Caenorhabditis elegans: one gene and its partner. The protein of the gene in region 2 purifies or fractionates together with the protein of the main gene of each other region. This does not show direct contact. Each region holds a gene or a part of one and is shown on either strand. Other genes may lie near its edges.

Region 1 (7,810 bases), on a different chromosome or scaffold from region 2:
TACCAGGAGAGCGCTCAATACAAGTCGATCCTCAAGTGGTTCTTCGTTCCACACTTCTTGATCCTGGTCTTCATGTGGCTCAAGGTTGGCAGCGAACTCCTCCGAACAAATTTCGGATGGAAAAACGCGTTCTTCGATCGACTGGACATGCCGTCAGCCTACCCATGGGAGTATGTGTGGTGCTTCTCATTCATTCCGATCGTCCTCGCCATCTATTCGTTCCAACGAAACAAAGTAATTTATTTATTGATCAATTTGCCACAAATATAACTTCTTATTTCAGCTCAAGATCCTCCACTACGCCTACTATGCCGAGTTCGTCGTCGGAATCTTCCCATGCATGATCGGGCTTGGAGGACAACTTCCAGAGCTGATGGAGTATGCTCAAGACATGGAGGGAAGCAACACACCGACATTCAAAGGAATCTTCCCGATGGTCATCATATGGTACATCTTCTTCGCGGTCGCACTCCAGATTCACGGATTCTCCATGTACTTCATGCATCACCTTGCCGCCGCATGGGCTCCAGTCAAGCGAGATTAAATTTTCTCCGTTTTGTGATATTATTTTTCAATTTTCCCCCATTTGTTGAGTTGTGTACCTTTTCCTTGTTAATAGTATTTTTATTCAAATTCCTGCTAGTCTCTATTGCCAAATTAATAATTCCATATCTTTTATTTATTTTCTTACTTTTTCTAATTACCGGTTACTGTTCTACAGTTCCGTTGATACTTTTCTGTTTCAATATTGATTGCATTTGTTTCATTTTGTTAAATCAATTTTCAGAATCGAACTCCAAAGATGTGGGGCGAGACATTCGACGATTTCGAGAATGACGAAGGAGAGATGGCAATGGCCAAGCAGAACCTGATCGCCGAGCCGGCTCGAGCTGATTTCACTTTCGCGAAGCTTCCGTTGGGAATCCAGCCCGTCGATTTCATGAAGACTCACTTCGCCGAGACCGCCGGAAAATCCATGCAATTCCGCAAAGGAACCACCACATTGGCGTTCGTCTACGAGCCAGCAACTCCAGCTGACAAGGGAGGAATCATTGTGGCTGTCGATTCACGAGCCTCCAGTGGTGAATACATCTCATCCAAGTCGGTCATGAAGATCTTGGACATCGGAGATCGTATGGTTGCCACGATGGCTGGAGGAGCTGCTGACTGTCAGTTCTGGACCCGAATTGTCGCCAAGTACTGCACGTGAGTTTCAATATTTTCAGCTTCAAAACAAAAATAATTATTTATTTTCAGTTTGTACGAGCTCCGCGAGAAGACCTCAATCACCGTGAGCGCCGCGAGCAAGTACTTTGCAAATACGCTCTATGGATACAGAGGACAAGGATTGTCAGTTGGATCGATGGTGGCCGGATACGATAAGAAGGGACCACAAATCTTCAAAGTCGACTCGGAAGGAGATCGTTGCCAGCTTAAAGTGTGCTCAGTTGGCTCAGGATCTCTGAATGCCTACGGTATCCTCGATAATCACTACAAGCCAAAGATGACGGACGACGAGGCCAGAAAGCTCGGCCTGCGTGCGATCATGCACGCCACTTATCGGGATTCTGGATCCGGAGGCGTCTGCAATTGTACGTGAAGCTTTTTGCTCGGCTATTCCACAAAATGGACCATTTTTCACTAAAAATGGCTTTTATTTTGTCTAAAATTTAAATTTTAGACGATTTTTATTCGAAAAAATTCTTCGGATAAATGAAAAAATTGGTTCATTTTGTGAAATCTCCGGCCACCTTTAATCTAATCGCTTCTATTTTTCATCCTCCAAATTTCAGTGTGCCACATCACGCCAACCGAAAAGATTCGTCTTCCACCAATGGACGTGAGCAAGCTGTGGTACGAGTTTGCCGATGAGCTCGGCAGAGATATCACCTACAACCCAGTCGAGTGATTCAATTTCCCTACGCTGAAATTAATTTTATTCTTCTTACATGTATTTGATGTCTGATCCGATCCCGATTTTTTTTACATACACACCCGTCTTTAAAATGTCATTTATTTCTATTTTTCGTTTCCAATTAATTTATTCTTCTTTTGCTAAATACTCTCTGTACATTAAGTTCTAAAGTTTTCAAGTTCGAAATCCCGAATTTAGGCTTAGAATTTAGAATTTCCCTCGACAACAGGGGTGGCTGGAAGAAACTCTCAATCACATGGCACAAATTGGATTTTTGGAACATTAATATCAAGTAGTTCTAGAGGGATACTGAGATGGAGTTACACTCAAAAGTTTATTGCAATTTTCGAATGTGAAAATCAAGTTAAAGCGATATGTGTCGGCTGGGTGTTGATGACGTGGTGATTATAACAGCTGGAGTCCCATTAGTGTTCCGCCACGCAGGGCCTATTCGTGTTCCAGCTGGAAATAGTTTAATTGTGCTATTATTTGAATTGTTTTTTTCCATTAAAATTGAGAAAAAGTGCGATTTTAAGAGTAATGGGTATCAGTAGGATCTAAATATTTTAGCTACCGTACCCAGGAATATTTTGCAACTTTCTCTAATTTTTTCGACAGCTTTGGATTGTACAGTTTTGGCTGAGAAAGTCAATGGGTAGTTCGAAATTTGCCAAAACTAAGTTTTCCGTAGATCAAACACAAAGGTTGCGCGCCAAATATGATGTTTTGAGTCCTCAATCGGAAAGTACGCAAAGACACACAAAATGCATCAGATTTGACGCGCAAACTTCATTTTTCTTGTTTGTGAAAAAAATATAATATTTTTTTAAAAACTTACAGGACATAGAAGGTGCCACAGATGCCCGTTCTATAAGCTCAATTTGCTGCTCTCTCCGCCTGGGAAGCATCGGACGGCGGCTCTCGGAGCCCACACTATCGCCAGCTTTATTATATATAATGGCACTGGAACGATCGAATTGTGGCTCCTTTTGCATATTATTTATAAAATGGTAACAAGCGGTAAGCATGACGCCCATGAAAATTCCAATGCAGAAGAGTAATCCGACAAGAATCCACGGGAAATCAGATGGCTTGAAGGAATAGGAACTTGGCTGGAAAAATCGAAAATTGGTAAGTGGTCAGCATGCGCGCTCTAATGTTAAAAGAAATATAAATTGTTGGTGTTGGGTCCTGCCGTTATCTAAATTGATATAAACATTTAAGCTACCATAGTCACGAATATTTTTTTTTTTTTTCATTTTGTTAGAATATTTTCGTCGTACAAACCGATAATCGGCAAAATTTTTAAAAAAGTTAAAAACTCTGTAACCGCGCTCCAATGATAAATAATAGAATTGTCGGGTCCCACCACAATCGAATCTTTTCATCTACCTTGAAATTTGCATAATAACAGAAATTGGAAAATTATTTGAAATTCAAAAAATATCTCATTTTTCAGCGGGAATTGGAATTTTACGGAAGCTGGCTTTTTCAGAGTCGATGCACCATGTGCAAAATTTTGACAGGGGATATCTCTTGGTTCATTTTGAAGGTACCAACAAATTTTTAAACTGCAAAATTATCTTTAAAAATTTGGCGTCAAATGTGGTGTATTGTGTCCACAAAGGAAAAATAACCGAAAACACTAGATTTGACGCGCAAATTCTCACCGTAGACGTTTGCTCTTTCTTCTGCGTAGGCGGTGGTGGAAGTGAAGCAGAAATGACACGTGAGCCACCTGGTTCGACGGCTTTCCAGTAGAATTCTTTGTTATTTATTTTTTCCTGTAAAAATAATAGTTTTCGATTTAAAAAATATGAAAGAGACAAACTTTAAGCCTAGGATCGGCGTCTTTTCCCATACTCTGAATAATTTCGGCCGCCAATTTCGGTGTCATTTCTTTTCCGCCACGTATCTCGTAGTAGTTCGTACCGTACTCATTGTTTCGTACCGCCTGAAAGTTTGAAATTAAAAAAAAAAAACGAAACCCAAAAAGTTGCACGTGGTGTCAGGCTGTCCCACTACGGTTTGATCTACAAAAAATGCGGAAATTTTTTTACAAAAAATGTGACGTCAGCCCGCTCAATGTGAAATTAGTTGAAAAGTCTGCGTCTATATTTCTGCGATTCTCGTAGATCTACATTGATCAAACCGATATGGGACATTCTGACACCACGTGTAGTTGTAGTAGAACTCACACTGTAAGTAGTATTTTCTGGATCTTCAGCTTCTGGTTTTTGGGAGAGTCGGACACTGAACACGTGCACAGAACAGTCTGCAAACTTTATTTGTTGAAAAAATCGCTTCGAGACCTAGAAAAAGTGCGGTATAGCGTAATTGCATACTTCGTTGAAAATTGCATGTCAAACATTGTGTATTGTAACCAAAAATCGCAAATTTGAAATCCCGTAAATATTTCGCTTCTTTCCAATAAAATTACTTGAAACTCAAATTTTTGCGGCGAATTGTAATGTGAACATCATGTTTGACGCGCAAATTTAAGAAAAAACGAACCATTAGGCGGCTGACACTGTGGAATAACAACAGAAAGTGCCGAAAGTACGGCGGTAAACAGAATAAGTAACATTTTCGGCTTTCTTCTCGAAATTTCAAAAATCATCACCGAGTACTACGGTGAATCATTATAGCTATATTGGTTTTAAAAATTTGAATTTGATTTTAAAAAAAGTTTTTTTTTGGAAATTCGTTTTTCTTTGAATAACAATCACAGTGCCGATGAAGAGAAGGAAAAAACCGAAAATAATATATAAAAGAAGTTACACACTCTCAGATAGACAGAAAAAGAGACATACATACACATTGATAAGGAAATCATCGGAAAATTGAGAGTGAGAGTGAGAGTGAGAAAGAGAGAATTAGAGACAAATAGTTGTAATTGATTGAGAGAGATTTGATATGTGACTGGTTATTTTGGTGGTCTAGAATATCAACAAAAAAAAACTAGACCTAAATTAGCTTGTTCCATAGCCGGAGACAAAAATTGCGCGTCTAATGTGGTGTTTTGGTGCGCAACCGGAGAGTACGCAAACACTGACCAAATGCACCAAGCGGAGCCTGCACTACAGTAACATAATTACTTATATATAAAACCAGACGCTGACCGCGCCCCCGGCGCATCCAACTGGCTGGAATAAATTTCAAATACCCCTTGAAAATAGCAGTGCAATTTTGAAATTAATTTGATTTTTTTGAAAATGAAAACTTTCAAAGTAACGGTAATTTTGCGTGTTGGCATAGCCTACATTGGACGGAAGGAAACTCTACTTTATATATATTATTATTATTGAATACGTTTATTTGAACGTGAAAATAAGAGAAGAAAAAGGGGAAAAAATATAAATTATATTGAATATTGTGGAATAATACAGAAAAGTGGGAACGGGTTGAGGCCTTGTTACATAACCTTATCATTTATTAATGTGTCCAAAAAATAGGGATAAAGTCTGTGTCTGATGAACGAAAGTTAAGAATGATTGCTTTTTGCAGGGTTGAACACGATGAGTGAAAAAATGAGTTCGCTTTTAGGAGTTTTCCACCTGTAAGCGTGGCTGTTCCTAGTTCTTTCAGAAGGTTTGAACTCAAAAAACTGTGAATGATCTATATAGTAAATGATAATATAGCACGTGGGGATTATTAGGGGACATGGTCGGGGTATTGTAGTAGCAATGTAGGGGTACTGTAGGATTACTGTAGGGTTCCTGTGGTTTTAGAAAAAATGAGTTTTTGTCTTTTGCAGGGATATTGGTATGAATGGGGAATATGGTTGGGGTACTGTAGTAGTACTGTAGAGGTACTGTAGGATTACTGTTGGATTACTGTAGTTTTAGAAAAAAACATTTTTGTCTTTACAGGGATATTGGTTTGGTGGGGGGATATGATCGGGGTACTGTAGGATTACTGTTGGATTACTGTAGTTTTAGAAGAAAAAAAAGTTTTCGTCTTTTGCAGTGATATTGGTTTGGGGTTAGTGGGGGATATGATCGGGATACTGTAGTAATACTGTAGGATTACTGTGGTTTTAGAAAAAAAAAGTTTTTTTTGGCTTTTACAGCGATATTGATTTGGGGTTAGTGGGGGGACATAGTCAGGGTATTGTGGTAGCACTGTAGGATTACTGTAGTTTTGGAAAAACTGACTTTTCGCCATTTAAAGGGTTCGGTGTTAGTAGGGGAGCAATTGTGGAAAGAACCATCTTTCCGGGAATTCAAATTTTCTGAGAAAGAAAACGTTCTAGAAAAAATGGAAATTTCTAGAATTTTCTTGAAGGTCTGCAAAACTCCAGGAAAATGCGAACGGCTGGTAAAATACAATTTATTTGCAATAATAATTTTGAGATAAATTTAATTTATGGCTCTTTTCGTTTCGATGCCTGAGTTGATTATTCAATTGGGGTGTTCCATGGGAAATCCAAATTTACAAAAAAAGGAAATATATACAGTTTTGTAGAATTTGCGCGTCAAATGTGGTGTTTGGGTCCGCGATTGAAAAGTACGCAAACACCAACCCAATACACACAAATACATCAAATTTGGTGCGCGAGAATTGCAACAAAAAAAAATTAAAGAAAAATCAAAAATCAAAATTGAAATTCATTTCGCTGCTGACGAATAATCTCTCGAGGTGGAGGATCTGGCCGCTCGTGAGCCAATTCCATGGGCTCATCCGTATAGATTATCTCTTTTTCATTGAAGTTTGGCTCCTCGAGAATCTGAAAAAAAAAACTTGTTAAAATTTTTCAGGTTGCTGATCTGTAGAAAAATCAAAATCCTACCATTTTCCGGACGAAATGAATTCCAGCCATTTTCTTGTCATTAGTCGAATAATCGATATGAAGACCCTTCCAACCGGTGAATAGGTTACGTAATTCAGAGAACATTCGTAAACTTGATGAGCCTGGTATTTCTGTAATTATTGATTGAATCCTTAGTGTACATTAATTTCTGAAAAGTTTCTCAAAAACATCCAAAAATTTGCTCGTCAAATCCGATGTAATAAAAACACCCAACTTGACGCACAATTACGTACCCCCAGTAGATGTTCCACGGGGCCGTTTTGTTGATTTTCCTTCACGTTTATGATGGACATAATAACAAATCATATCGACTACGGAATTTGCAATAAATCTCCGGAGGGCGAAGCTCAGAGGGTGTTTTGCAGGGCGTTCTGGACTTGAGACCATTGATGTTGCTATCTGGAATTTTAGATTTTCATCAAATAAGTAAGTAAGATTTTTGCTCTAATCAAGAAACCCCGTATGAAATCGCGGCGAGACCATAGATGTGCAAAAAAATGTGTCAGAGTGTCTCATTTCTCTTTGATCTACGTAGATCTACAAAAAATGCGGGAGTTGAGACGCAGAGTTCTCAACTGATTTCTCTTGGTTAAGAACTTGCTGACGTTACATTTTTTAAGAAAAAAATTTCCACTTATTTTTTTGTAGATCAAACCGTAATGTGACAGCCTGGCGCCACGTGGAGTTGTGCAAAAAAAATTGCGCGTCAAATCTGATGCATACCAACACGCAATTTCCTATACTTACCTCAACAACTTTTCGTGCTTCTGGAGCAATATTCCCGCGCATCTCTCCGGCAACTTTCATAATTTCTCTGCCCATTTTCAGAATATAATTCAACTTTCGATATTGTCCACTTTTCTCCAATTCCACAAACATTTTCGTTGGCATTGAAACTCCATCAATATGAAGCATTTCTTCTTCTGTATCCTGATCTATGTAGAATCGTTCGATTTTCGCATCTTTCAGGTACAGCTCCTCGGTGGCTCTGAAAATTTGGAAATTTTGTCAAATTTGGTGTATCAAGTCCGCAGAGTATTTACTTTGCATTAGTTAGTCGAACGGGCGGTGGTGTGTGTACT
Region 2 (6,520 bases):
TCTAGTATCAGCCGATTCGATTTAAAATACGAGAATTTACTTTACAATTACACATAAAACACTGAAAAATAAAAAATCTATTCCTTTCCGTTGAGGAATTTGGAGAGGAAGTCCTTTGGCTTGGCTTCGACATTTTCAGCGAACAGGTAGTTGCGCACGTGATCCGGGTTGTAGAATGCGTAACGGATCGATTTCATGTGCTGAAAGTGACAATTAGAGTTTAGAAAATTTAAATTTTATTCAAAAACCTGATGAGTTTCTCCGACAAGTCTGTCAACGACACGAACATCGGTGAGATGTCCGTTCTTTGTGAATTGCTTCTTGATGACAGCACGGAACACGCCGAGCGGCATATCATGAAGTCCGAAATCCCACCAGAACTTTGGAGTGAGACGTTGGAACTCCTTATAAGCGGCGAGAACCGACATGCGTGCCTCGGCGGAATTGTTGGATTTGATTGGAGCGACGGTGCGAACGGCGTGTTGTCCGGCACGGACGACTCTTCCGGCAGTTGCAGACATTATTACGAAAGAGTATCTCCTTTGGTGACACGGGCTTCAAGAAATTCGACCTTTCGTTCCAAAAGGTTAAGCTTGTCGCTGAGAGTCGCTAGTTTTGTGCGGCAAGAGAGCTCTGGAAGAAATCAGATATTTTTTAAAGGAATTAATTTAAAATAATAATTTTTCTACAAACCAAAGCTGGACAAGAAGTTAGCGATGTTCTTGATGTTATCGGCAATAATCTGAAAGTTAGTACGGGTTAGTGTGGGAGATATGAATTCACACATGAATATTTGTTGTAAAATTGTATAAAATCACAACCTACTGAAGTGAAAAGCTATTTCAACACCGCAGTTAAAAATATTCAAAAATTTCAACAACCATTTTTAATCAATTTTCATTCACATTTCAATCGATTTCCATCATTTTTTTCCGTCTACTAACCTGCTCAAACTCGCGATTATCCCAGTCGTCCTTTAGTTGTTGTTGAACGGCTTCCGAAGCGTGCATTCAACGCTGAAAAGCTGAAAAACGGTGAAGGATGGTCGCCGGTGTGCCGCGTGCTGCGTAAATCGACACACTCGATCGCGGCGAAACCCGTCCTCGAAACTGCGTGCGCCTTTGATGTCAGCGGTCGTTCGATTGGCTCCTTGTCGCACTGATTTGGCTTTGGATTTCGTAATTTTCGACGGATTTTCGGGATTTTCTATCGATTTTTTGAGAATTTTCAAGGAAATAGACTGATTATTCATTAGTTTTTTCAAAAATTCCATACATTCATTGAGAATGGGTTAGACAAACGTAAATTCAGATTTTAGAAAATCGAGCAAACTGAGCAAAAAACTGTGTCCGCTTGAGAAATTTGTAAAAATTAAGACTATATTCACTGAAAACTCTTATTGCAATCCGATATTATCCAATGAAACTATCTGCTTTTAGCAATTCTATTGTTTTGAAACGTTTCTCTCAAAATTTTATAGACATCACGTGTTTTGTTGACTATTCTCGATGATTCATTGGTTTTGATTTCGTGAAAGTTACTGCAAAATAAATTTTGCGATAAGGAAAATCAATATTTCTACTTGTTTTTTTTTCAACAGCAAAAGCGAGCTTGCTCCAAAATTAATAGCGGTTTTCCGTTAAACCCTTCTGTTTTTCTTTGTGCTCTCTCACACACACACCCTTTTCAATCGAATTGCACTTTTCAGGAATTTCCTCATTCAACATCAATATTCAAGATGTTGGCTATGGTGAATAAGGTTCTCGACTGGATTCGCAGTCTTTTTTGGAAAGAGGAGATGGAGTTGACACTTGTTGGGCTCCAAAACTCTGGAAAAACGACATTTGTCAATGTTATTGCTGTTAGTTTTTCTGGAAAATAAATTTAAATTCAATGTTCTTCACTTTAGAGCGGCCAATTCACAGAAGATATGATCCCAACAGTCGGATTCAATATGCGGAAGATCACCAAAGGCAACGTGACGATCAAATTATGGGATATCGGGGGCCAGCCACGGTTCCGCTCGATGTGGGAACGATATTGCCGCGGTGTCAACGCCATCGTCTTCATGGTGGACGCTGCCGACGAGGAGAAGCTCGAAGCATCCAGAAATGAGCTTATGCAGCTGTTGGACAAGCCACAGCTCGACGCTATTCCAGTTTTGGTGCTCGGAAACAAGAAGGATTTGCCTGGAGCACTTGATGAGCGGCAATTGATCGAAAGAATGAATCTGTCATCAATCCAGAATCGCGAGATTTGCTGCTATTCTATTTCATGCAAAGAGAAGGAGAATATTGGTAATTTTTTAAATCTTTGAACCATTCTAAACTGAATTGTTTTCCAGATATCACCCTCCAATGGCTCATCGATCACTCGAAAGCTCAACGCTAAACTAGGCACAATCCACGACTCAATCTACTCGAAAATTTACAATTCACACCGCAAAATATATTAAATCAAACCTTTTTTTTTTGAAAATTCTGTAGATATTATTTATTTGAATCCCCTCCCCTCCATATTCAACTAATCTCTCTCGTCTTTTTCATCACAATTGTAGTCAATTTCCCCAACCCATTCGCTCCCAGTTTTATTTCTTTGGTAGCTTTCACTGTGGGATGTTCATCATCCCCATTCAAAAGTTGTGAAATTTCCCTCCAATTTTATGTACATGTTGTGTATCACTTTTTTGGACATTTTGCAACACCACTGCAACCATTCTCATTATTTTTTACAAATGTGCTTAATTCCTTAACTCTTCTTCACTCTTTTTCATAAATTGAAAATTTACTAAGGCATTTAGTTAACGTGTTGCTCTAGCATTGCAGCCTAATTTTTAAAATTCTAAAGTTGAATGAAAAAAAAGGAAATCAATTATTCCTTCAGTTTCAAAATTCGAAGCAAGCGATGGAATGTGTGAATTGTGATTGTACAGTCAAAACGATGGACAATTTGGATAAAGCGATTCGGGAACTGTTGCAACGTGGCAAACACGTCAATCGAATGATGGACAACGAGAAGATGATTAGAGAAGCTAGACGAATGGAAGAGGTTCAGCAGTTAAAGGTTTGAAAACTGAAAAACTCGGGTCTCGCAGCGATTTCTGGGGCGGTACTGTAATTTCTCCGCTTTTTTTCTCATTTTTCATGGATTTTCTTTATTAAACGAGAAAAATCGGACGAAAATCGCGAAAAACGAGATGATTGAAGTACAGTACTCTTTAAAGGCGCATGCCTCCTATTTTTGAGTTTCTCGATTGCGCCGAGACCAGGCTGCGGTATTGTACTTCTTAAAGGCACAAATCGATCGATTTTTGAATGTCTTTCGTTAAAAAGTCGATAAAAATCGAAGAAAGCATCGAAGAAAACGAAAAATTATATAAAATCGAAGAAAACGAAAATTATTTAAATAGCGGAAAATTGGAAAAAAATTGCAAAAAAGTAAGAGAAGTGGGGTACTGTATTTCTTGAAGGCGCATACACTTCTACGCAATCTACAATATAATGTTTTTTGTTCGTTTCGAGACCGAATTTGTGGAAAATAATAATAATAATTATAATAATTTATTACGCTCGCTGGGAGACGTGAAGGAATACAGAATACAAGAGTTATCATTGTTCGCTTGAACTAGAATTGGTGCAATCGGGCAATTGTTTCCATTCCATTAGAATGTTGTCCTTGTCCTTACGTTGTCCTTGCGTAGACTCCCCCATAGTGGGCGAGCGATTCCCGAGTGAAAATAATCACGGAATGAAAATAATCACGGAATCGTGAACAAAAACATTTTTTACGAAAAAAGTAGTTTTATTTAAAATAAAACTTAAAAAAAAAACAAATTTCCAGATGCAAATCCCGAAGCCTGTTGACAAGAAGCCCCGCTCATCGGAAAAGAACCTCAAGCTCATTTCATGTGAGGAAACTTGTATGGATGAGACGCTGAAAAACTCGTCAAAGCCACGTATTATCTTCAACAAACAGCTCGGACACGCCGAATCGATTGATTTCGATGTTCCATCGCTGTCTTATGAGAGTTCGGTAGGTTCTCTTGGTGGCCTAGTTTTCTCTTTTCCACGGCCACCGAAATTACTTTTTTAGGATAAGGGTGTCGTCGAGTCGACTACTTCGACGTCGGTGTCGAATCCGAAAAAGACGACTTCTTCTTCGATGTTCACCAAGTCGGAGGCCACTACAATTTCGGAGTTGACCACTTCTGTAAGCTGCAAATCTAGACAAAATCTACAAATTTACTGTTTCAGACGTTCAAAAAGGCTAAGAATCCATCAGGTGGTGCTCTTGTGTTGGATAATCATTATTTGATTAATAATGACGATGGAACTGTGAGCAAATTGCCAATGAAGGTAGGTCTAGGCGTGCCTGCCTACTGCCTATCTTGTGAAAATGTTCCAGATCTACGTGAAACAACATCTCGAAGATGGCTCTTTGGATGTTCAACTTGTATTTTTCGATGAAAACTCGCAAAAAGTGATGGATATTTCTATGTTGGTGAATGGGAAAAAGATCAAAGACGTTCAATTTTGTGGAAAAGACGCTAAACTTGTGAATTAGAACTTCTTTTTGTATTTTTTCGTAGAATTTTTCTGTGTGTCAAGTAAAAGGAATGCGGTTTTTTGTTGCTTTTTCTTCTGTACATTCCCAGTGTATTCCAACTCGCGCTCTAATGTGATTGGCGTCGACCAATCAGCGAGTTGCAAGGGGCGTAGCTTTCTCCTCTGACTGGTCGGTGTTGTGTCTGCTCGAGGGACAACATTTCATTGAGTGAACATTTCATCAACAAGGAATTAATTGAGTTAGATTCGTTACATTAGCACGTGATGTCAGGCTGTCTCATTGCGGTTTGATCTACAAAAAATGCGGCAATTTTTCCCCGGAAAAATCGTGACGTCAGCACGTTCTTAATCATGCGCAATCGGTTGATATATCTGCGTCTCACCTCCCGCATTTTTCGAAGATCAAAGCGAAATGGGACTTTCTGACTCCACGTGCATTAGTACATATTTGAAAACGTACCGAAACATGATTCATTTTTCCAAAATTTTAATTATTTAATTCGCCCAATATTCTTGTTTCCATCTGAAATACATTGTGTCTTCCCTGAAATTAAACTCCAAGAAAAAGAGGTTTCCGATGTCTATTATTGTTCTAAAAGCGCCCGATATCTTACAGGACACTGAAACTGAAATGCCAACAACCCGTGAGGTGTCCGCTGCTGTTGTGTAAATCGAAAAGTGACGGCATTGGGGGTATTTAATCACAAAACGCGGTGTTGTTTTTTGAACATCGTGATCTTCAAACATATGACTATTCCAGAGAAATAAATTAAAAAAAGTTTTGAAACGGAAACTTTTTTTTTCATTCTTGAACTAAACTTTGTTGCCGTTTTTGGCAAATTGCGGGTAGCTTATCTAGGTTTCAGGAAAAAACATTCCGAAAATTTTGTGCCGATTCTATCAATTATCACGATCCTTGTTGTTTCTCTGAAATTCTGCAATCACTATTCGGCCGACATTTTATGGGACGGTCAATTTAACACTCGAACTCGCGAAATGTCGGTCGGTGCTAGTATGCTAATAAAAAGTTATTGAAGGTCAAACCAACTATTGTTCCAAATGTTTCCTAATATGAAGCCATTAAAACGGCCGAATAAACCGAAAACTGTCAAAAAACTGCCCAAATTGACGGCTTTAAAACAAATTTCGACTGAAAATTATGAAAAAAACTACGACTTTCAGACGGTTCTGCTAGTTTTTACTTCAAAAAAGTGTTCAAAAGTAGTATATTTCCTGCTTTTGCTAGATAAAAACCTCTGAAATCTGAACAAAAAATTGGGGTTTTTTCAACAAAGCCCCAAAAAATGCTGAAAATATTGAAATAGTTGGCGTTTTTTTTGTAAAACAATCGATTTTTTTCGGTAATTTTGGACCATTTTGGGTCTAAAAAAGCCAAATTTTTAATTTCGGGTCTCCATCATGGCTGTCACAAAACAATTTTCGACAAAAAAAAACAAAAATTTTCTAATTCTCAAATTTCAGAACTCCACCGTTGAAATTTGGATACTACTTAATCACAGCTAAAAATTACAGGCACTGAGGTGGTCTACAACGATATCTATGTGGCTTCACCAACAGTGGGTAACATTTTAGAAGAGACAAGAGCCGAAATGGAAGCCTTGTTCTTGAATTCCACAAAAACCAGGTACGTTTGAGCTTAAAACGCCTCTGAACACCCTAGAGCCTCCGATGTCTATTCAATTAAGATTTAAAAAAATCATTTCAGATATGAATGGAAAGGGTACAGCAATTAATCTAATTGGTTGGGTCACCAACGTATGGCAATTATTTGGAGGAGGCCAGAACCGCCATGGAGTTGCTCTTTTTGAATTCGACAAAAACCAAGTACGTTTAAGCTTAAAGCCGGTGAACACCCTAGAGCCTCCGATGCCTATTCAATTAAGATTTTTAAAAAATTATTTCAGTTACGATTGGAGCAAATTCTCCAACAAAAG

What was found. Proteins that work in one complex are often made in the same cells at the same time.
Region 1: the proteins of arl-8 (region 2) and dus-2 fractionate together in Caenorhabditis elegans (co-fractionation; one large-scale study listed by BioGRID). This does not show direct contact.

Annotation. Positions count from the first base shown.
Region 1 is NC_003279.8:14,713,455-14,721,264, reverse strand, and holds the start of dus-2 (DRBM domain-containing protein), read left to right. Parts: upstream 1-3,027; 5' UTR 3,028-3,046; intron 3,047-3,585; coding exon of another isoform or gene 3,586-3,699; intron 3,700-3,746; coding exon of another isoform or gene 3,747-3,869; intron 3,870-4,113; coding exon of another isoform or gene 4,114-4,190; exon of another isoform or gene 4,191-4,429; coding exon of another isoform or gene 4,430-4,502; exon of another isoform or gene 4,503-4,667; intron 4,668-6,234; exon of another isoform or gene 6,235-6,512; coding exon of another isoform or gene 6,513-6,644; intron 6,645-6,707; coding exon of another isoform or gene 6,708-6,838; intron 6,839-6,961; coding exon of another isoform or gene 6,962-7,127; intron 7,128-7,475; coding exon of another isoform or gene 7,476-7,716; intron 7,717-7,771; coding exon of another isoform or gene 7,772-7,810. Other genes in the region: K05C4.2 (Protein jagunal homolog), read left to right, coding at 1-234, 284-544; Proteasome subunit pbs-5, read left to right, coding at 803-1,206, 1,258-1,592, 1,794-1,909; Y54E5A.8 (Conserved plasma membrane protein), read right to left, coding at 2,280-2,377, 2,754-3,027, 3,586-3,699, 3,747-3,869, 4,114-4,190, 4,430-4,502; gid-1 (B30.2/SPRY domain-containing protein), read right to left, coding at 6,513-6,644, 6,708-6,838, 6,962-7,127, 7,476-7,716, 7,772-7,810.
Region 2 is NC_003282.8:14,796,441-14,802,960, forward strand, and holds arl-8 (ADP-ribosylation factor-like protein 8B), read left to right. Parts: upstream 1-1,708; 5' UTR 1,709-1,738; coding exon 1,739-1,861; intron 1,862-1,909; coding exon 1,910-2,297; intron 2,298-2,344; coding exon 2,345-2,391; 3' UTR 2,392-2,787; downstream 2,788-6,520. Other genes in the region: nuo-3 (NADH dehydrogenase [ubiquinone] 1 alpha subcomplex subunit 6), read right to left, coding at 78-200, 249-521; Y57G11C.1147 (Protein BRICK1), read right to left, coding at 524-633, 694-742, 945-1,010; Y57G11C.14 (uncharacterized protein), read left to right, coding at 2,905-3,063, 3,841-4,032, 4,093-4,209, 4,254-4,355, 4,405-4,563; Y57G11C.1142 (uncharacterized protein), read left to right, coding at 6,176-6,210, 6,292-6,319.